Arabidopsis thaliana: one gene and its partners. The protein of the gene in region 3 purifies or fractionates together with the protein of the main gene of each other region. This does not show direct contact. Each region holds a gene or a part of one and is shown on either strand. Other genes may lie near its edges.

Evidence for each region.
Region 1: the proteins of CHR17 (region 3) and NF-YB11 fractionate together in Arabidopsis thaliana (co-fractionation; one large-scale study listed by BioGRID). This does not show direct contact.
Region 2: the proteins of CHR17 (region 3) and AT5G67630 fractionate together in Arabidopsis thaliana (co-fractionation; one large-scale study listed by BioGRID). This does not show direct contact.
Region 4: the proteins of CHR17 (region 3) and NOP56 fractionate together in Arabidopsis thaliana (co-fractionation; one large-scale study listed by BioGRID). This does not show direct contact.

Annotation. Positions count from the first base shown.
Region 1 is NC_003071.7:11,744,435-11,748,277, reverse strand, and holds NF-YB11 (nuclear factor Y, subunit B11), read left to right. Parts: upstream 1-1,822; 5' UTR 1,823-1,902; coding exon 1,903-2,072; intron 2,073-2,091; exon of another isoform or gene 2,092-2,251; coding exon 2,252-2,370; intron 2,371-2,543; coding exon 2,544-3,082; 3' UTR 3,083-3,297; downstream 3,298-3,843. Other genes in the region: ATCOAE (dephospho-CoA kinase family), read left to right, coding at 1-191; AT2G27480 (Calcium-binding EF-hand family protein), read right to left, coding at 393-503, 601-619, 710-885, 994-1,040, 1,134-1,467; AT2G27460 (sec23/sec24 transport family protein), read right to left, coding at 3,411-3,622, 3,707-3,843. UniProt on the Arabidopsis thaliana protein: Component of the NF-Y/HAP transcription factor complex. The NF-Y complex stimulates the transcription of various genes by recognizing and binding to a CCAAT motif in promoters.
Region 2 is NC_003076.8:26,966,854-26,971,175, forward strand, and holds AT5G67630 (P-loop containing nucleoside triphosphate hydrolases superfamily protein), read right to left. Parts: upstream 2,548-4,322; 5' UTR 2,454-2,547; coding exon 1,705-2,453; intron 1,343-1,704; coding exon 682-1,342; 3' UTR 525-681; downstream 1-524. Other genes in the region: AT5G67640 (uncharacterized protein), read right to left, coding at 2,693-2,817, 3,062-3,388, 3,459-3,507, 3,591-3,695.
Region 3 is NC_003076.8:6,196,130-6,204,002, forward strand, and holds the start of CHR17 (chromatin remodeling factor17), read right to left. Parts: upstream 6,038-7,873; 5' UTR 5,930-6,037; coding exon 5,717-5,929; intron 5,433-5,716; coding exon 5,301-5,432; intron 5,224-5,300; coding exon 5,117-5,223; intron 5,025-5,116; coding exon 4,912-5,024; intron 4,691-4,911; coding exon 4,593-4,690; intron 4,501-4,592; coding exon 4,321-4,500; intron 4,238-4,320; coding exon 4,016-4,237; intron 3,806-4,015; coding exon 3,671-3,805; intron 3,602-3,670; coding exon 3,319-3,601; intron 3,237-3,318; coding exon 3,163-3,236; intron 3,052-3,162; coding exon 2,831-3,051; intron 2,755-2,830; coding exon 2,667-2,754; intron 2,591-2,666; coding exon 2,497-2,590; intron 2,414-2,496; coding exon 2,225-2,413; intron 2,135-2,224; coding exon 2,100-2,134; intron 1,985-2,099; coding exon 1,908-1,984; intron 1,812-1,907; coding exon 1,722-1,811; intron 1,624-1,721; coding exon 1,554-1,623; intron 1,460-1,553; coding exon 1,405-1,459; intron 1,333-1,404; and 12 more. Other genes in the region: AT5G18630 (alpha/beta-Hydrolases superfamily protein), read left to right, coding at 6,836-6,908, 7,287-7,366, 7,599-7,664, 7,754-7,801. UniProt on the Arabidopsis thaliana protein: Possesses intrinsic ATP-dependent nucleosome-remodeling activity. Constitutes the catalytic subunit of several complexes capable of forming ordered nucleosome arrays on chromatin. Involved in the formation of nucleosome distribution patterns.
Region 4 is NC_003070.9:20,983,739-20,988,867, forward strand, and holds NOP56 (NOP56-like pre RNA processing ribonucleoprotein), read right to left. Parts: upstream 3,215-5,129; 5' UTR 3,156-3,214; coding exon 2,951-3,155; intron 2,701-2,950; coding exon 2,486-2,700; intron 2,394-2,485; coding exon 2,236-2,393; intron 2,154-2,235; coding exon 1,966-2,153; intron 1,870-1,965; coding exon 1,617-1,869; intron 1,534-1,616; coding exon 1,385-1,533; intron 1,296-1,384; coding exon 1,164-1,295; intron 1,075-1,163; coding exon 806-1,074; 3' UTR 665-805; coding exon of another isoform or gene 621-664; 3' UTR 597-620; coding exon of another isoform or gene 563-596; 3' UTR 535-562; downstream 1-534. Other genes in the region: AT1G56100 (Plant invertase/pectin methylesterase inhibitor superfamily protein), read right to left, coding at 20-241; AT1G56105 (uncharacterized protein), read left to right, coding at 1-144, 173-249, 316-371, 563-596, 621-664; AT1G56120 (Leucine-rich repeat transmembrane protein kinase), read right to left, coding at 3,550-3,921, 4,010-4,160, 4,242-4,473, 4,556-4,766, 4,881-4,999, 5,124-5,129.

The DNA of each region.
Region 1 (3,843 bases), on a different chromosome or scaffold from region 3:
AAGCTGATGTTGTGATCGATAATAATGGCTCTCTTGACGACCTTCACCAACAGTTCGAGAAGGTTTTGATTGAAATTAGAAGACCATTGACGTGGATCGAGTTTTGGCGTTCAAGGCAAGGAGCCTTCTCGGTCCTTGGTTCAGTGATTTTAGGATTATCTGTTTGCAAACAGCTCAAAATTGGCTCTTAACATTTCACTTCTGTTACTGCTAAAAAACTTGTTATAATCTTAAAGCTTTGATTTATTATTCTCTTGCTCTCTTCAGCATTAGCTTATTACACTATTCACTAGTTTGAATTCACTCTCCTATTCAGTCAGTACTCAGGCATCTATTATCTATATACAACTTGAATCTGTGATTGAGAAAAAGAAAGAAGTAGCAAGTGACCATTAATCATAGGTGGCGATGAACGGAATGACCATCAACATGAAGACATCGTAAGAGAGCGTTGCGTAGCCTGTGTAACCAGGGTCGTTCTCCCTGAACTTCTCTGTCAATCCCTGTTAATAAGCATACGACACATTTTAAACAATTTCAAGTGGTTTAGATTCATGTAAACACATTGTCGAAATTCTCATGGAGGTTAAAAGATCATACCTTCACAATCATCCCACACCTGCAGAACAAAATGAGGGAAACAAACCGATGATGCTTAGTATACAAATTAAGAACCGCAAGAATCGATGAAAACATACAGAAAACTTACTCGAGGAAGCTGTCGAAACATAGGTCAACAGTTTTGCCAGTCCCATCATCAAACTGAGATACGATAAGCTGGTGAACCGAGGTTGGAAGCACGCACCCGAGATTATAGAAAGCGTCTCTGAGCTGGGTAGAATTCATCTTTCCACTCCTATCTCTATCGTACCTGTTAAATATTGCCTACAAAAGAACACACATTGAAAAGTAACACTCCATTTTTAACTTTTAAGGCATAGAAGAATACACACATTGCCTCAACTAGATTGATCCACATAAGTGTTCACTTACACGCCATTGCGCAAGGCAGTTCCATAACTCAACATACTCCTTAGGACCTACATAAAAAGGTAGAAACATGGCTATTTTGTAACATCATTCATATTTGAAATCAAAAAGCCAATTTCAAAAGCTGCAATAAGTGAATTTACCAAGCCGAAGCAGAGAATCTACAGGAATCTTGTAAATAAACAACAGCAACCTAATCGTTCTGTTACTAATTCCATCGTACCCAGATAACGACAACGCTTGCCGGAGCTCCGATTCTTCGAGAAATCCGCTCCGGTTTCTATCCGCCGACTCAAAGCTCCTCACAATCTCCGGATGCGTTTCCGGGGAAAACATCCCGGAGTAAGAGCTGAATTGCTGAGTTGGTTGATATGATGGATACGCGTAAGTGTATCTACTTTCACCATCGTGCTGCTGCTGAACGAACGATTCTGGTAGCTCCGGTGCCGACGGTGCGTAGGCGTTTGAGTAAGACATTAATCAGAGTATGAAATTCTTAGAAATGGCTCGAATTCGGAGAATCTGGTTATTCGAAGATGTCTCAAATTCCAGAGGTTGAAGACGACTCCGATTCTTATTCGTGTTTTGATCGAATTTATTAGTATTACGATTGGACGGTGAAGATTTAATAAAGGTTATCCAACGGTGAGATTGACAACGTGCTCATAACTCTTTAGTGCTTATCAATTTGAATAATGGGCCGATTTGCTAGTACGATTTGACGGCTAGGATTTTGTCAATCAATCCAACGGGTAATATTGAGCGGCGTGGTCATAACTCTTTAGTGCTTATAAACTTGAATATGGGCTTTTAAATATTTTAATAGGCTGATCAGCTTACTGGGCCGATGTGTTTTGTTGTATTATTAACATAAAGGCGGGAAAGACGGCGACTGAGAGAGAGGAGAGAAGAATGGAGTCGGAGAAAGTGGTGGTGGACGAGCTGCCGCTAGCTATTGTGCGCCGGGTGGTGAAGAAGAAGCTGTCGGAGTGTTCGCCGGATTATGACGTCAGTATTCACAAGGAAGCTTTGCTCGCATTCTCAGAGAGTGCGAGGATCTTCATCCACTACCTCTCCGCCACGTATGTACACTTCACAAACCCTAACTTTTTTTCGAATTTCTGCACTATGATAGTGAATGATTTGGAATGTTCCAAGTTTGGGTTTATGTTAATGTGATTCAATTGATGAATGTTAGTGTTTGTGAATTGTGATCGATCGAATTGATGGATTTAGTTTAATTTGGGGGTGAATGATATAGGGCAAATGATTTTTGTAAAGATGCAAGAAGACAAACTATGAAGGCTGATGATGTGTTTAAGGCATTAGAAGAAATGGATTTTTCAGAATTTTTGGAGCCGCTTAAATCTTCTCTTGAAGGTAAGTGTTTTGTTCGGATGAAGATCCTATTGTCACTATCTGTTGTTACTTTCATGGAGTGTTAGTAGAAATGGCTTAGGTTGTGATTTGTCTTGTTATGGACACTGGCCTAGGTGTGTGCACTTTGAGCTTATGATGTCAATCCTAGTGTAATCCACATGACTGGTTTTCAGATTTTAAGAAGAAGAATGCGGGGAAAAAGGCGGGTGCTGCAGCTGCTTCGTATCCTGCTGGTGGAGCTGCTTTGAAATCTTCAAGTGGAACTGCTTCGAAGCCCAAAGAGACGAAGAAGAGGAAACAGGAAGAACCATCTACGCAAAAGGGTGCAAGGAAAAGCAAAATAGATGAGGAAACTAAGAGGAATGACGAGGAGACTGAGAATGACAACACGGAAGAAGAGAATGGAAACGATGAGGAGGATGAGAATGGAAACGATGAGGAAGATGAGAATGACGATGAAAATACAGAAGAGAATGGGAATGATGAGGAGAACGACGATGAAAATACGGAAGAGAATGGGAATGATGAGGAGAACGAGAAGGAGGATGAGGAAAACAGCATGGAAGAGAATGGGAATGAGAGCGAAGAGAGCGGGAATGAGGACCATAGCATGGAAGAAAATGGGAGCGGGGTTGGTGAAGATAATGAGAACGAGGACGGGAGCGTAAGTGGAAGTGGTGAAGAGGTAGAGAGTGATGAAGAAGATGAATGAACTCAAGGTTATATTTTTGCTAAGAACATGTTTTCAGGTTTATGTTGGAGATTAGCTTGTAAGCTTGAAGCAGTGGTTGTGGCCATGAGCATGTAATAGACTAACATATCTTTTTGCTCTTTGGCTCTAGTGTTACCAAATATGTAAGTCAAAGTTTAGAAAATGAAGTTTTGCAACAAAATTTTAGCTTAATTATTCATTTTGATTAAGAGAGCAAAAAAGTTGGGATGCTAGTCTAAAGCAAATGTTACAACAAGAAGAGTAAAACTCTGACACAGTTGAAAATTTTGAGTTTGGATGTATAATAAACTAGAGGGTCATTTGGCTTTCACTTCATGTATTCAGTGACACGCTGCGAAATATCATCGAGGAAAGACACGAAACCCATGGCGCTAGCAAAACCATTACCGTCCACATCTTGTTCTTCTATAAGATAGTTCTCAAAGACAGTAGCATCGTCTCGTCCTCCTCGGATAAACACTAGTTTTGGTGTGATGCTCCTTTCTTGCTTCACTTTATTTATGGTCTGCCTCAATAAACCTGTAAGATATAAGTTTTCGAATCAACATAGTCTCAAAGATCTAAAGGTGGTTGAACTGGATTTCATTTGGTGAGAAAACTTACAGTCTTGAGGTGGAGGGAAAGGTATTGACGGGTCTGCTGTTGATGAGTAGAAGACTATCAAAGTGGTATATGCATCTAGGAAAAATATCGGACTACCACTTGTTATCAATGCTGCACGGCTCAACGAATGACGCGGA
Region 2 (4,322 bases), about 21 Mb from region 3:
TTGGTTGGATTCACCAGCGTGTGATGTTTGTTTTTTCTAATTACTTGCAAGCGATGTGTAAATTAGATTAATTCAATCCATGAGTTTGGAACAATTTGTTTGGCCTTCTATCATTAACTCTTGTTCTACAAAGCCGTTTGTTTTGAAATCTTTATTCAAGAAATTCAAGGACACACGTTTATTCATAAATTTAGATAATATTTCACTAAATAAGTTGAAATTGACCCGACCAAGCAAAATAAATTCGTTACACCAAAACACGCCACCAAAAACCGATGAAGTCTGGTAAGAGAACACTCGTAATTAATTTACTCTGATGGTAGAGACTTGCATGCGTGTCAAATTTTGCGAACAACACACGCTTACATGTATTTAATGATAAGAGAGAGATTCACTATACTCGTCAATATTGGGCTTAAAGCCCATATAAAGTCTTAACGGGCCAGACTAATTTAGTAAAACCATCTCCTACAGTCTAGTCTAACCGAACCGAAATAAGTTGACCAAATCCAAACAAAATCAAATTTGTACCAAACCGATCTGTATTGAACTTGGTTAAATCATTTTCTAGAACCGAATCTCGTCACAACTTAAAAAAAAAAAAACATAAATCCGAGTTCAACATCCTAATCATACATATCACCACGAAACATGATAAATAAGGCAAACAGAGGTGGATCCTCAGATCTGCATAGCATCTTGTTCGTCTTCTGCAGCAGCTTCATCGTTTTTGATTGGTTCACTGAACATATACTGACTCTGATACTCAACAAGATACTGCATCGATCTCCTCACATCCAAGAACAGTCTGTAAACTCTCTGAATATCCTCAACCTCCACGACTTTCCCTTTCCGTTTCTGGCATGACAATGCAGCTGCGGTTATAAGATGAATCGCATACCTTAGAGATGTATCACGTCCGATCAATGTCAAAAGCTGTTTGGCCTCTTCGTTCATCTCAACGTCTTCCTCTTGGCAACGGATTTCTAATATCTTCCTTATGTCATCGTCTGTGTAAGGTTGGGTAGTGATGATGAGAAGACGGTCAAGGAGATCAATCGGGATCCCGTGTGGTGATTTCTGGTTTGTGCCACGGATTGTCGTCACTCCTCGGTTTGTTGCCACCACAAGGATTGGTGACATTTCGTTTTCTAGAGCTCGGTTAAGGAATGAGAAGCATTCGATGTCGAGCATGTGGACTTCATCAATGAAGAGAACTCCGGGAACTATCTCTGCTTTTCCTTCTTCTCTCCATTCAGCTACTTTTGTATCAATTTGTTCCCGGACTTCTGATCGGATTTCTCCAGTATCGCCAGTGAAAAGGGCAAGAAACCCTTGTGTCCTGCAAGCAAACAAAGAAGAAGTACACAAAGTTACTTTTTTTTGTTCTACCAATCATGTTTCAAACATTAAATTCCGCAACCAAAATTGGTTCTAACGATACCACAAACAGATGAGTTAGTTATAGTTATAAAGAGTGCTCTGACTACACACTGCTAAAGAAAATGAGCTTGAGAATTTCAAGAGCATATAAAGCAATGAATTAATCTCAAATTTGAGACATCTCATCTGAAATTAGTGAGCCAAATCAACTAAATTCCCAATCACCTAATCACTAAAACTTCAATTTTGCAACCTACATTGGTATTGCAGATACCAAATCATGATTACCAATGTTTACAATTCAGGGAATGTTAAAAGTACCTGCTGTTGATAACATCAATCTCGTGAAGAGTGACACAATGTACAACCTCTTTCCTCTTCTGCAACTCACCTTCAGGGCACTGCACAAACTTGGTCTGCGCACCCATAGCATCATAATCACGAGACCTCGAAAACGATCTTCCAAGCTTAGTAATCTTCCCAGTAGCTTTATCAATGGCAATAACATCACCACTCTGCACTTTCTCCTTGTTCAAAGCCTCAATCATCTTAGCTCCCATATCATACACAGTTTCCATATCAGTCGTTTTCATAGTCATCTTCCCTGACTTGGAAGCAACACCAGAAGAAGCAGGCCTATCAATCTGAACCTCAACAACTTCTCCTTCAATAACCTCTGTCTCTTCTTTGATCCTAACACCAATCGCTTTACGAAAAGACTGAGTCAAAGCTTCTGTCTTTGACATCTCTAATGAGAAAATTTCACTTCCTGCAATCATCGCAAAAGGAGTTTCCAAGCCAAGAGATTTCGCCATACCCATTGCAATCGCTGTCTTACCCGTTCCGGGTTGACCCGCTATTAGAATAGCCCGACCCGCGATTTTCCCTTCTCTAATCATCTGAAGGATTACACCGGCGGCTTTACGCGCCTTCACTTGACCGACCATACCTTCGGAAACAGCTCGCGGCTCGAGGGCAGAGTCGAGACCTAGTCCTCTGATGTGTGAGTGTGCGCCGATTCGCTCGACTCTGGTTAAGTCCCGACTCTCTGATAGCTTTAGTTCCGCCATATTCGATTATCGTCTTCGTGCGATTGAGGCGGAGGGAGAAGAGCAAAAAGTTAAGGTTTTAGGGTTTAGAGAAAAGCTACACAATGGCAATGACGATGTAAGAGTTAAATCCTCTTAACAAGGGCATAAAAGGAACTCACAAATCTTATAGACGAGAATTATAAATTTAGTAATATACCCTTGAATTATTAAAGATGAAGTAATTAACTCTTAGATAAAGGTCTGTGATAATTTGAACCCTAATTAGGAATTTCAGGGATTGCATTGGATCCATCCTGGATATTCTTAGAACTCTCTTTGGCCAGTTTCTTAGCATTTCTTCTCTTCTTGACTTTTCTCGTCTTATCATTGTCACCGATTAGTCCTACCAAACAAAAAATAAAGAGTCAGACGCGTAATGTAATTAATACACAAAAGAGAACGTTTGAGTAATTTGCACAGGACCAACAATGAGACAACAACTTGATGAGCTAGTAGATTTTGATTAAAGTCAAACCCTTGATCTGAATACGTACATGTGTTATGAAATCTAGTTAGATAAAGTACGAATTTTTCCCAAAAGATTTGAAACTAAGGATATCGTCAAAAAAGTCAAAAGCTGTGTGTACCTTCTTTCTTCTCTTGGGCATTTGGTCGAACAAGTTGTGAGCATATGTTGCTAATGCTCCCATCAACCTCTTCTTCGCCACCGTCAGAATCTTCTTCTTCAACATTGCTCCCACAAGCATCTCCGACACTTCTTTCATCATGGGTCTGAAGCATTTCAGTCGGAAGTAAAGGTCCGATGACTTTCTTCCGTCGAGCTGCTTCCTCTTTGAGCATCTTCTTCCTTAACCTCTTTCTCTGCGCTCGACTCTGTTTCTCTGCAATCCCCAATTCGTCTCCGATTTCTTTGTCTTCTCCGTGATTAGATGAATCGATTTTCAAGTAATCCTCTGAATAATAAACAAATTTGAATGTGACTTCCAAAGTGTAAATAACTTGTTAAGATTACATTAATCGTACCTGGGTTTATGAGTGACACATCGAATGGTTCGTTATCAACAACCTCCACCTGAAACAATGGCGGGAACATTTATCGATTCATAACCCAATCGAGAACTAACAAATTGACACAAATAGAGATTGAGAAAATACCGGAGGCGGAGAATAGGAAGGAGAAGAAGGTGGCGATGAAGGAGGATACAGTGTTTGAAGAAGAGCTTCGTGAAATTCTCGACGCTTTTCTTCTCGCCGTCGCATCGTCGGCACTTGGCAGCGAAATCTCCGTCTAATTCATAAGATGTGTAACTTTTTTTTTTTTTTTTGTTCATTATGTCCCTAAACTTTAGTGGTAACTGTATTACTACTCCCAATTTTTTTGATATAGTATTGCACCCACACAAGTCAAAGAGTTCACGTCAAATGTAACTAAAACTTTTTTTTTCCTTCTTTCTTTAATAAACACATTTTAAAAAAAAACACATTCTTATTCCATGATTGCAGGAAAAGTCGGATTCACGAATAGATCTTGCTAAAACGTCAAAACTTGACGAAGAAGCAATAAATGATAAGATCGAGATCGATTCTAAGGGATCGATATCGACAAGGTTTTGCAAGTCCTCCTTACAGGGCTTGAACACAAGCTCTTAGGGTTAGGAGTCCTTTTTTATAGGCTTTACACAAAACACTCTTTAAAACTCTTTAATCAATAATCAAAACTAATTACAATACTAAATTACGTCTTTTCAAATAAGAGAAAGATAAAAAAAAAAACTAACATAAAAGAGAAGCAAACGAATACAAGTACTAAAAGGCTAAATAAACATGAAGCCCATGAGAAACAAAACCCAAACAACGAGCCAGCCCAAACGGGACGAACAACACGTT
Region 3 (7,873 bases):
AACCTAGAAGTGATCATAAATCTTTCTGATTACTTAGTGATGGATTCAACACAAGCCTTCTTATTTCCTACGCTTTCCCTGCAGAGACATAAAGTTTTTTTTTAGTTAGGATCAGAAATAGATGGTCTGTCTGCTTTGCATGAATTAACCAGTAAAATGAAAAACTCTTTTTATGTTTTGGAAATGATTTTGAGTACCGAGCTCACATAATCATCCATTGACAGCTGCTTTCGTTTCTTCAGAAGAGATGAAGGGCTCTCATTTGCTTGCCTACCCGAAGGTCGTTTTGATGGCGTTGCACTCTGAAACAAGTTGTAGAACAGATCATGAGAAACAATTCCACAGCATCTCATCAGTAAATGAAAATGTAAACTTAAAATGTTCTTCGCACAAAAAAAAAAAAATGTTCCTTCAAGTCCTCACCTTTGAAAGCTTCTTCTCTTTTCGGGCTTGCCTCTCTCTCTCATCAAATTCTTGATTCTCTTTCTCAATCAACCTGATTAGTGTGTCACATCTCCTTGCAAGTTCCTGAGTTGTGCGGGATTTTACAAACCAGTCAAACCTAAACAAGGGGGATGTCCGAAACGCTGCCTTTAGCTCATCCCAGTTTCCATACCCAAGTTTATGGACCATGCATATCTGATAATCACAAGTTCATCGGGTCAATATCATATTAGAATAAAACAATAACAATGAAATCTCAACAAAGAGTTTGATAAATAGATGTCATACCATGAAACGGTCGCACTCTTCATTGTACAGCTTCCCTTTGTTCTGACCATATTGAATCTTCAGTTCCAGCCACGGGTTTCTGTAGCGATCCAGTTTCTTCCCAATAGCTTTCATGATTTCATCTTTCCTAGAGATTCTTGCTTCCCCTCTCTCAATATTCTTGATGATTCTGTCGTAATCTACAATTTTTACAAAGGAAAACAAGAGGCAGAGCTTACTTAGGATAAATATCCAACTTTGTCGCACTGCAAACACTCATTAACTTTACTTAACAATCTAAAGTTACTAACCATTCAGCTCTTTATATCGCACTTGGAAAACTTGAGCATATCGTTCAACCTCTTCCTCAGTTTTCCCTTCCATCTCAGAGGCAATACTCTTTATGTCGTTCCGGCCATACTTCTCACAAGCCCTAATGAAGGCATTGAAGTCTCTTCTGCTCCATGTTGAGAAACCCTAAAAAATATCAACTCCATTAAATTATAAAAAAACCATCAAAAACAAATGTCAACCCACAGTAAGGTCGAATGGTTTGGCTTGCCTCTTCCAGCAATAGCTCCTTTTCTTCCACTTCTTCAGCAGTTAAGGGATCTCCAACTTCTGCAAAATTATTTCTTAAGTAATAGATTCAGTAAAATAATGTAAGAAAAGAGGGCAAAGACTGAGAAAGACCTTCAGGTTCATCAACCTCAATTGTGTCTTTCATTTGAGTTTTCTGATGTGCTTGCTGAAACCAGAGTGAAACAAATTGCTATTCAGAACTAATCAGACACAAAAGCTGCATAAATTACATAACATGTTGATAAACTTGTTATTCCCACCATAAGGTATCGCACTTCTTTTTCATACAGCTCAGTCAGCCTCTGAATGTTAAAGAACTGAAAATCATGCCTGCAGGATGGACAAGAAATTAGATTTTTACGATAAAAGTACTATAAATAAGACAGGGAAAAGGCTAAATGCAGAGTGGAGACAATTGAGGTACTCACAATTGGGGCATGCGTGGAATTCTAGGCTCTTTAGGTTTAGCTGGAGCACCTTGTCGCAACGTTTGCTTGAAGTATTCAACTTCAGAGTAGCTAAAGGGTGGGTAGAGAAAAGTAAATTGTTGAAGTTAGATATTGTTTAGGAAGACAGGATAGACCACGTAATGAAAAAGTAGAAGTAATATTTACTTGCGCTTTCTCTCTCTTTTTGGTGGATCATTCCAATTTTCACTCACAATCTTTTTAAAATCCACCTTGCTCTCATCCTACCAAACAAAATTAAAAAAGAAATCAGGAAACGATATTCGAAAAACTGCAGAGCATAACCACAGTATGCGTTAAACCTTTCCTTCAATCATTCAATTAATTATCCAAGAATACCTTGTTGTCATCGTCAAAATCATAAAAGTCAGCACCTGCAACAAACCAAAAACTATCTTGTTTGGACATCCCATTACCCATGCAAGGGAGTTACCATTGGAAAAAGGGATAAATAGCACACTTACTGTCATCCATTTTAAACTGTATTGCATCTTCAGTAAATTTCTTCATCTTGGCATCAAGTTCAGCCGTTGCCTCTTCTCCTTTGGCAATGATTCTGTCAATATCCTCATCCGTAATTGTGCTATCTTTAGAACTAAACACCATTTCAGCACCATATCTCACCATTTGAAGCAACTCATCCTTATTAACAGCTGGAAAGCAAAGAAAAGAAATCAGTATATATATGTAAGAGAAAATCCAATACATCTAACAGCCTCAGTACACAAGCACTTACTTTTCTGTTCTGCCAATCTCCCTTGCTGAATAACCAGAGCATCAAGTGCCAACTTCTTGTAAGCTCTCTCAATGACTTTAGCCTCAATAGCATTCTGCATAAGACCAATGCAGAATTAGTTCAAGTTCTCCAGGTCATTCTTACTTCATACACATGGGTACAAGAGTAACCTCGGTGCAGAACCGGAACACTTGAACTTCTTTTTTTTGACCAATCCTATGTGCACGATCCTGAGCTTGCAAGTCAACTTGAGGGTTCCTGCCATAATCCACCCACCTCATTAGGCATAAAAGAAAACACTCATAAATTACAATGGACACAAAAAGAGCCTTACCAGTCACTATCATAGAGGATCACAACATCTGCAGTAGCAAGATTGATACCAAGTCCTCCAGCTCTAGTGGATAACAAGAAAACGAATTTCTCACTTCCTGGCTTGTTATAGGCTTCTATGGAAGCATCTCGTTCGTCACCACCAGTATTTCCATCAATACGGCAGTACTGGTAACCACGATACATTAGGTAATCCTCGAGAATATCCAAAAGCCTTGTCATCTGATACAGATGAGCAAAATCGTTGGAATAAGCACAAAGAACCAAGAAAGATATCACTCAGAAAAAAGGAATCAAAGATAGGAACAATTATTTGTTTGCGTTAATGAATACCTGAGAAAATATCAGAACCCTTGAATCTCGATCCTTCAACTTAGGTAGCAATTTATCTAAGAGAACCATCTTACCTAGAAACAAGAACATGTAAAGAGAAAATAACTAAGCCAATTGCCACATTTCTGAATGATCTACTTGTAATGTAAATCTTACCTGCGTTTGTTACAAGGTGATCTCCTGTAGTATATGGGGGACCAGGCTCCGCACCCTGGAAGAGATAAGGGTGATTGCAGCATTTCCGCAATTGCATTGCTATGTTCAACAGACGTTTGCGTTCTCCACCACCATTAACCACTTCAAGATCCTTCTGCAGTAAAGCCTTGTAGTACTGTTTTTGCATTTGAGACATGCCAACTTTGAGTATTGTCTCCTTTTTTGGAGGTAAGCCTTTCTCTACATCTGATTTTAACCTCCGAAGAAGAAATGGTCGCAGAACCTACAAAGATGAGGTAAATGATTAGCATAAGAACTTAGAGAATAACCTTGATAAAATATGAGTACATACCTTGTGAAGTTGTTGAACAACTTCTTGCTGGTCGTTTTCACCAGAAATTTGAAACCACTCGTCAAAAGTTTCTGCTGAACTAAAAACCTCAGGGAGAAGAAAATTGAGAAGGGCCCACAATTCATGGAGATTATTCTGTAGTAGAAACATATGAAATGAATACAATATTAACTCAAGCAAATCAAGTACAGAAGATAGTAAGAAGCATGTCTAAGGAACACGAAAAGAAAAAAAAACTAAGTTCAACAGACTCAAGCAAGAAAGTAGTTTCAACATAGGCAGAAGCAATCTGACAGAAAAATTGAAGGATCTAAACAATTATAGATCAAAAGATTTGACAAGTACCTGAAGGGGGGTTCCCGTGATAAGAAGCCGATAGTTGGTGCTGAAAAGTCTCATGGTTTTCGAAAGGAGTGAATTCTCATTTTTAATTCGATGTGCTTCATCAATGATTATATATCGCCAGCTAAAACGGCGCAATGTTGTCTTCTCTTTGATAGCCATCTCAAAGCTTGTTACACAAATGTCGAATTTCCCTGCAACTAGCAGTTCTTCACGAATATGTCTCTGCATTATTTAAAATATATCTCAGAATCCTGCCAGGTGCATATAAATGCAACCATTCAAATGTAAGAGCTATTATGACTTACTCTTTCCTCGGGATTACCGAGAAATTTCACAGCACGCAGGACAGGACAAAATCGGCGAATTTCATTCATCCAGTTACCAAGGGTTGATTTTGGAGCAACTACCATATGAGGGCCATTAATTCCCCTGTACTCATGCAGGTAAGCCAACAAAGAAATGGTTTGAAGCGTCTTCCCCAGACCCTAGACCATGAACAAAAACAATAAAGATTAGCATCAGATAACATTAGAGAGCTGAAAAATCTTATTATATGCTAAGATAATTAGTGGTTTACCATTTCATCTGCAAGAATCCCATTTATGCCGTTCTCATACAGCCGAATGAGCCAGTTTAAACCAGCTAATTGGTAATCTCTTAACTTCCCCTGAATACCTGCAATATGAAGAGTATGAAGATCAGATCTCTAAATTCTACAGAATTTATGCAGTCCTACCTAGAAATTGTGAGCTCGCAACTGAAGAATATATCAAACAACTCTACCAATCAAAGAAGTGGGCATAAGGTGTCAAATCCTATAATAACTTCGACTCGCAATAGGACTTGAGCAAACATACGCTATATCAAGATATTAGGAGCAAAACAAAGGTACTTACAAGCGGGCTGAGTGAGCAACCGTGTGCCTCCAGATCCAACTATACCACCCTCTTCTTCTTTTAAACACTCTTCATCTTCCTCTTCCTCGGTTAGTTTGGAAGAATGGCGACCCCTGACGATAAAGTGAAACCCAATAAATTATATTTCTGGAAACTTAATATGAATAACCACAATTTATTTTGAGATAAGTTGCACTCAACACACCTTCCTTTTCCCTTCTTCTGGGACGGAGACGGGTCACTTTTAGCAAAATGTGCAAATAACTCAGTTTGCTGCAGAAGATACTTTATCCTCCCCTTTCCTTTATTGTTCTAATAAATGGAATGATTGAGTTATTTCAATACCTCTGGATACTAAAGACAAGCAGCTCAGTTATTTACTAACTTACCATATCAGCATCTATGGAAGCATTTTGGGAGTCTAAGATTTGCTGAATTTTCTGCTTCTTCATCTTCTGCATTTCTTTGAGTCTAGCCTTCTCACGTTTGCTGATCTCAGCTTTCTCCTCGTCTTCTTCGTCCTACATATAACCATCAAATTATGAAAAGAGTGACCAAATATCCTCACGAGTCACATGAATGTACCATCATAATGAGCGACCACCCATCATTGTAAGCACTTCTAAGCATAAACCTTCAAACAAAGAGAGTCGAAACCAAAAGACACCCAAATATCGAATATACGCTCAAAGGAAACCCTAATCTTACTTAGAATACATTCAGATTTCCAAATACAGCAATCCCCGAATTCACAGCCGACATGCGAATGTAAATCGAAGAGTGGAAAACAGAAACGAAGACATACCTCTTCAGCGTCATCTTCTACGGGGACAACCTCGTCGTCAGAGACAGGTGCTTCGTCGGGCGCAACATCTTCCTCGTCAGAGCCCGCAGAGCGAGCGACGGCCTCGAGCTCGTCATCATCTTCTTCCACATTGGCCTGATCGTTAACTTGCTCCTCTTCCTCCGACGAGTAAGCCTCGTCTGAAGAAACTTCCCGCTTCGAAGCTCTAGCCATCGACGCGCCTCTACGAATCCTGATTTCGTCTGAGAGATCGAATCGAGGGTTCCTGAGTTTTTTTTGCTTTGGTTAGTAAATAAACAAAAGTGAAATTAAAAGCAACAAACCCGACGTTTGAAACGACCGTAGCTTCTATTTTACCCCGTTGATTTCGAGAAATCAAATCTACGGCTGAGATGTGCCACGTTGGCTTGACTTATAAAGATTCTCCCGCCACTTGAGAAGTAAGAGTTTCGGAAATTCCCGCCTTGGAATTCGGGCTTTAAAGGCCCATGGGCTCGAAGTTAAACTTAGAAGAAAGCGAAAGTCAAAAAGGTCAACTTCTCGTTCTTATAACGGAACGGCCTTATCCATTTATCCGCCCGAATCACGTATCTGACACCTCAGCACTTGAAGTTGCGACACGCTACACACCTAAAATTCCAATAATACCCTTTGAAAGAGCCTACACGCTTGTCTCATGCACCTTTGCGTATAGAGGATGAAAGTGGAAGTTAAGAAAAAAAAAACCGAATATTCGTATTTTAATCGCCGTTTCTTTTCTTCTATTAGCTTCTGTTTCGCAAGATCACGACTTCTATATAATAATATATAAGCTCGCCGTATAATTTTCTTGCCGGGAATAATCTCCGATCATCGTCGGAAATTTCCGAATTGTTGTAAAAGAAGTCCAATTTAGGCTTTGGATCCTCAGTTTAATTTATCTGGGACTTTTGGTTGCTGAAATCTCTTTCGGGTTTTGTCCTAATCCTCATTAGTTTGGGTTTCGTGAGTCTCGTTTTATAAGGTATATTTTTGGCTAATTTGCTTCCGAATTCTGCTTTGTTTTAGCTCAATTTTGCCCTTAACATTGGTTGATGAACAGAGGATGATGTGGTTGTGTTTATTGTCTTCTTGCAGAACATGGGACAAAAGAGATTGTTGTTCTTGCTGGCAGTTTTTACTTTTCTTGTTTCATCTTCATATGGTAGAGGTGGTAATGCAACTTCTATAATGATTCTATGTCTGTTTCCTTTATTGGGACTTCCAGTTTTTTTATTCTCCTGAGTCTCTCTGAGCTTAATTAAGATTTTAAACTTTCTGTGTAATGTGAAGTGCTTGGGAAATTGGAAATTTAATCTGGCTACAGTGATTTTTCATTAAGGCCTAATTACATGTTCTATCATGTTTGGAACAAATCAATTCATAATCCTTGTAGCATCATCATATACATAAGGAACCATGAAGGTCAAAATATTGATTTCAAAGCTTTATGTTTTCGACAATTTCATGTTCTTGGTATGAGTTGTGAGGCTACGAAGGAGTTAAGACTGAAGCAAGTGGATTTATGTTAGCTTCTTTCTTCTAACTGCAGTTCTCAAGTTGAAGAGCGATGATGATCGACCTGTTTACAACCATACGCTTGCCGTCACGCTTGTGGAGTATGCCTCTGCGGTAAGTTAATGGCAGATTAGTGAAGTAGTAAAAGACCTTTGATAATGATTTAGCTTCAAAACGTAATACCCTGTAGAACGAATGTCATTTATATCTAGTGTTCTGCAAGTGAGAAGAAATTACACTTGTCCTCTTCATATTTTCATTTATCATTATTTGCACTACTAGAGAAAAGAGATGATGCTGATAACGTACATAAGATGAGTGAATCAAGTTTGTAAGATGTATGCAGGTCTATGAGTCTGATTTGACAAAACTCTTCACTTGGACGTGCGAAAGATGCAATGGTTTGACAAAGGTAAAAAACACATGTTGAAGCAGATCACTGTTTGAACTTTGAAGCCGCAATTATTGAGTTGAGCTCTAACGTTTGTTAGGATGGTGCAGGATTTCGAAGTAATAGAGGTCATATTTGACGTTGAACACTGCTTACAGGTCTGCTCTGATATCATAAGCTACAGCTGGTCATGAACTCATGATGTTTCTTCATTGAACAATTATTAATAT
Region 4 (5,129 bases), on a different chromosome or scaffold from region 3:
GGTTATTAGAAGGGAAAACTTGCTTGGTGATGATATCGAGACGAGAGTCGAGACAGTGTATGATGATCTCGGCGATGCCAACACGGTCTGCATGAACGGAGGTTGGGTCGGATTCAAGACATTGCATGCAAATGGTCGGAACTTGTGCATTATGGCATTCCTCTTTCATCAGGTCCTTCTCGGCGCAAATCGGAGAGATCACGAGCAGAGCTAACAGGAGAAACTTGATCATTATCGTCATTATGCGAAGTATATTTCCTATGATTGATTATGTTATATTTCTTTGAGGGGTGTGAATTTCTTATTTGTACTAAGAATATGGGACTGGGAATGTGGTTGGTCACGAGTTTATCTATCCTTCTCAAAAGGAGGTAGCTCTATTGTTTACTTACACAAGTTTTAACATCTATTCAATTTTACCTTTTGTTAATGTTAACTGACCATTCAAACGCGAGCTGCTCTTCTTCTATTACTCCATTTGGGTAAAATAATAAATCATATGGCTCCAAATTCATTTTCACAAACTTGTTAAGCTAGTTTTCCAATTTGGTAGTTAGTTTAGCTATTATTGAAACATTTGCAAAGCACTGGAATTGGTAATTGTATTTTATAAAATGGAGGAGCCTCCTTCACGGTTGCAAACGTCAAAATAGTGAAAACCTAAACAAACTTAAGATATTGCCAAACCTTGAATCGTTTCCAGACCAAAACAAAAATTCTCCGATGTTCACTACGAAAAACAGACGACATTAATTTAGCTCAAAAAAAAAATACAATACAGGGTTTGTTAATGTTGCATCCCTTTCTATTCAGCGCTCTTAGACTTCTTCTTCTTCTTCTTGGTGCTGTGACCATCATCAGTCTCCTCTTCTCCTCCAGCTTTACTCTTCTTTGTCTTCTTCTTCTCTGATTTCTCGTTCTCCTCTGCAGTCTCCATCTTCCTCTTCTCTTTCTTCTTCTTTTTCTCTGACTTGTCCTCCTCCATTGCCACCACCTCTTCTTCTTCTTCACCCTTTGCCTTCTTCTTCTTGCTTTTCTTCACCGAGGCATCAACTGGCTCCTTCCCTTCCTCTTCTAAAGGAGGAACAGATAAAAAAACACTGAGTTTGCCATCATAAAGAGGACTCTGATTACAACCAAAAAAAAACAGCTACAAGAAATACCTTGCTTTAGATTCTCTATCACCTCCTTCATTACATCCACGTTCTTGCGTGGGGCAACACCTTTGTCATAAAATTCTAGCCTTTCCTCAACTTGTTCGCGAAGCTTCTCACCAAAAGCAGTAGTTGCACCATCTGCATAGGACATCAGGGCACATAATTTAACACTTTCACAACAGAATTCATAATCCAAAACTCTTCTTCAAGGAGTTTCAGATTTTTACCAGCAAAACAATCAATCCGGGATGCTATAGAGCACTTGTTTGCAAGATAACGAGCGATACGGCCCTTGTTCTTAGCAGATGCTCGGCCAATGAAGGAAGAATGGAAAATCAATCCATACTTGGGAGTGTTTCCACGTGTTTTAAGTGCCCTGAAATACCACAGCAGTTCATGTCACAAGCAGCACTAAAAGGAAACTGGTGAACATTAAAAATATAGTGCCAGATATTGCACCTGAAAAGAGCCTTCTCGGCTCCAAGAATCTGGAGGGTGGAAGATGGGCATTTAGCAAGGTTAGTCAGACTTCCAGCATGTGAAATCAAACGGGCACCGACCATTTCTCCAATCAAAGCAGCCAAATTAGGGGCAATGTCGCTCATCTTAGTGACAAGATAATCATAGAGCTTCTTCCTGTAGTCAGCAAGGTCCATAACTTTCTGAGCAAAGGTCTGTACGTTGATTAAGTCAAGCGGTGATAAATCCGAGCCTGCCAATAGGGAAGAGAGTAAATGTCTCAGGACATAAGTTAACAGAAACACACATTAACTCAAAGCTACCAAAAAAGTCAGCTCAAAATTTTTACCCATGGATGCTTTTCCAGCTTCGATGACCTCCTTTGCCTTATCTTCATCCCCTAAGACTTCAGTAAGCATGGGGATGTGATCTTCAGTCAACTTTGACTTGTCATCAATCATCTTTGAAACACGGGCGTAAAGATAGTTGTCATTGACTATCTTCACTAGTTCGGGGAAGTGCCACGAATACCATTCCCTGTAATAACATTATAAACAGTTCAGCTACCAATTTTCTCGAGGAAAACACACAATCTGAAAGGGAAAAGCACAAAACAAACCTGACTCTCATGGCAAAGGAATTGATATCCTTATCAAGCGTGTCAAGCATGAAGATAGCTTGAATAACCATGTTATCCACTCGGTTAACATTGAACTTCACCTTGGCTCTGCTGTAGCTGTGAGCTAATCCAAGCTGAGATTTTTCAAGATCACCAGGCTACATAAACAGAAATTTTTTATGAGAACACAAACCATATGAGATAAGCAAACAGACAAAAAGATTTTAAACACATAGAAAGGAGATCACACCTTTAAGTCCTTGATAAACCTATCAAAATGCTGGCGAACACCTCTGAGAAGCTCAAGAACAAACTCATTGCTCTGGCATGGGATTTTAGTAGCTTCAAATATATGTGAACCGAGTTTAGGCTCAGCCAATCCTAAACTGAACTTGGGTTTCTTTCCCTCCTTGACCTTAGGAAGATTCAACTCCAGAAAACTTCTAAGCTCATCAGTCATAACACCTACCAATATCACATTAAAACCAATTCCAAAAGCATCAATGACAAAACCAAAACAATGAAACAAAAACAGAACACAAAAACAAGAATCAACCATAAATTAAAGCTCTTTCTACAATATATCCAGGAAATTTGAACTATAAGGTTTTAAATCGAAGTGTCTACTCTAGCTCTAAATACAAGAACAAGCTACTCAACACAACACATGAATATACAGAACAAAGAATAAGAAGAGAGTAATGAAGAGTCTGACCTTCAGAGACGGCGTTGACTTGGTTGAGAGCATCGAGAGCAGACTCAAAGGGATGAAACGCTGTGAGCTGAACAACACGGCCAAAGCGACTGAGGTCGGAGACAGAAGTCCGAACCGCCTCAGTGTTCTGTCCGATCTCATCTAGTCCGTGAACCTCGAAGAGACCATAGCCGGAAGAAGACTCGTAGATAACATACATCGCCATTTTTTGAGGAGAAGAAACTAAAACCCTAAAGACCTACTGAGCGAGAAGAAATATACAACGAACGAAACTAGGGTTTCAGGGGTTTAATAAGCGCATCTGTTGATGGCGCTGCTCTTGAAAAATTCAATGGGCCAGGCCCATTTAACGGTGTGTTAGTTGTACTAGCTTATAAAATGCCCGGCCCATCACAACAGGTTAACTTTCTTTTTTTTTTTTTTTTTTTTTTTTTTTGGTCATCCTTGCAAGATATCAAAAGTTTGTTACAAAAATTGAAAAATTGTCAACTAAAATATTATTATTGAATGAAAGTGAAATCTGTTTCTCCACATCCTTATATAGAAGAAAATTGTCAACTTCCATATACAAGCATATCAAATTATAGAGGGGACAATCTTCATCTTCCCTCCTTGATCTTGAATCCAACCATTGGCTTCGATTCGCCGTCTCTAAGTGGCATCTCCGGGCCAGGCGCTATAAAGCTCGTCGAGAAGCTAGTGTCTTTCGTTTGAAAGTTGCTGAATGAGGAGCTTGTGGTGTCATCAAATGTACAGTCGGTTAGGTAGCCTGGCTTAGAGGTGGCATCATTGACCTCAGCATCTCCTGACAACATGGCTACTACTCGTGACATTGGTGGTCTCAACGCATAAGATGACTGAGTGCAAAGCAGAGCAATGCCAATCATGCGTTTCACTTCTTCCATGTTGTATTCACTTAGCTCATCATCTATTAGTTCAACGTCACGGTTTTTCTCGTGTAGATTCCATGCCTGTATACAAGAAATACAAAAGGATTATCGGCTTTTGTCATTTATCACACCATCTTCAACTTCGCCTATATGACAAATATAGACGTACCCATTCAAGAAGATATTTTTTTCCCTCTTCCAGGTTCTCATCAGAGTTTTTCCTTCCACTCACTAGCTCAAGAGCCACAACACCAAAGGCATACACATCTGTTTTCTCTGTTAGATGTCCACGCATGGCATACTCTGGCGCAAGATACCCACTGCATTGATACAACTAACATGAGCTATAAAGCCATAATTGTGTTGCAAACAAAATGTCAGGGTCTATGGATTTTGCTTACATCGTCCCTGCCACTCTGGTACTAATATGGGTTTTCTTGTCATCATATAGTTTTGCAAGCCCAAAATCAGAAACTTTTGGGACCAGTTCAGAGTCCAGTAAAATGTTGCTGGCCTTCACATCTCTGTGTATTATGCGAACACTTGCTTCCTCGTGGAGATAAACTAGACCTCTGGCTACTCCCAGACATATCTCATAACGGGTTGACCAATCAAGATGCAAACTCTTATCCCCTGTAACATCCAACCCAATGGCATAATGATTACTTTAGCTTGGCAGAAGCAGAGATAGGTAAGTCATGTTTCTGTTCATTACCAAATAATGCCTGATCGAGACTTCCATTAGGGAGATACTCATATACGAGCAAACGATGATCTCCTTCAAAGCAGCACCCGTAAAGTTTTACTAGGTTGCGATGTAGAACTGAAGAAATTGCAATAATTTCTGCAACAAATTGTCCCTTCCCTTGCCGTGATCCAATTGACAACTGCTTCACCGCCACCTCTCTTCCATCATTGAGGTTTCCCTGTTGAACGTGTTATTCAAAACAAAACGTATTAAAAGGTATTACATGTACCCTTCTTTCCTAGTATCTCAGAAAAATATACAGCTATTTTGTTCGATTCAGTAAGGGACTTACCTTATAAACAGCCCCAAACCCTCCCTCTCCAAGCTTGTTTGAGAGATCAAAATCTTGTGTTGCATTCTTAAGTTCCGAGTAAGTAAAGGTGTAAGGCTTTACGTCCATACTAAGTATCTCTGCCATAAAAAATTCACTACTTAAAATCAACCAATTTAACAGATGATAGTCAACTTTAATTTTGATCAGAGAGCTAAAGTTATTCAGCTCAAGGGCTTGTTTATGTTCTTATTACATCTGTACCTTCAT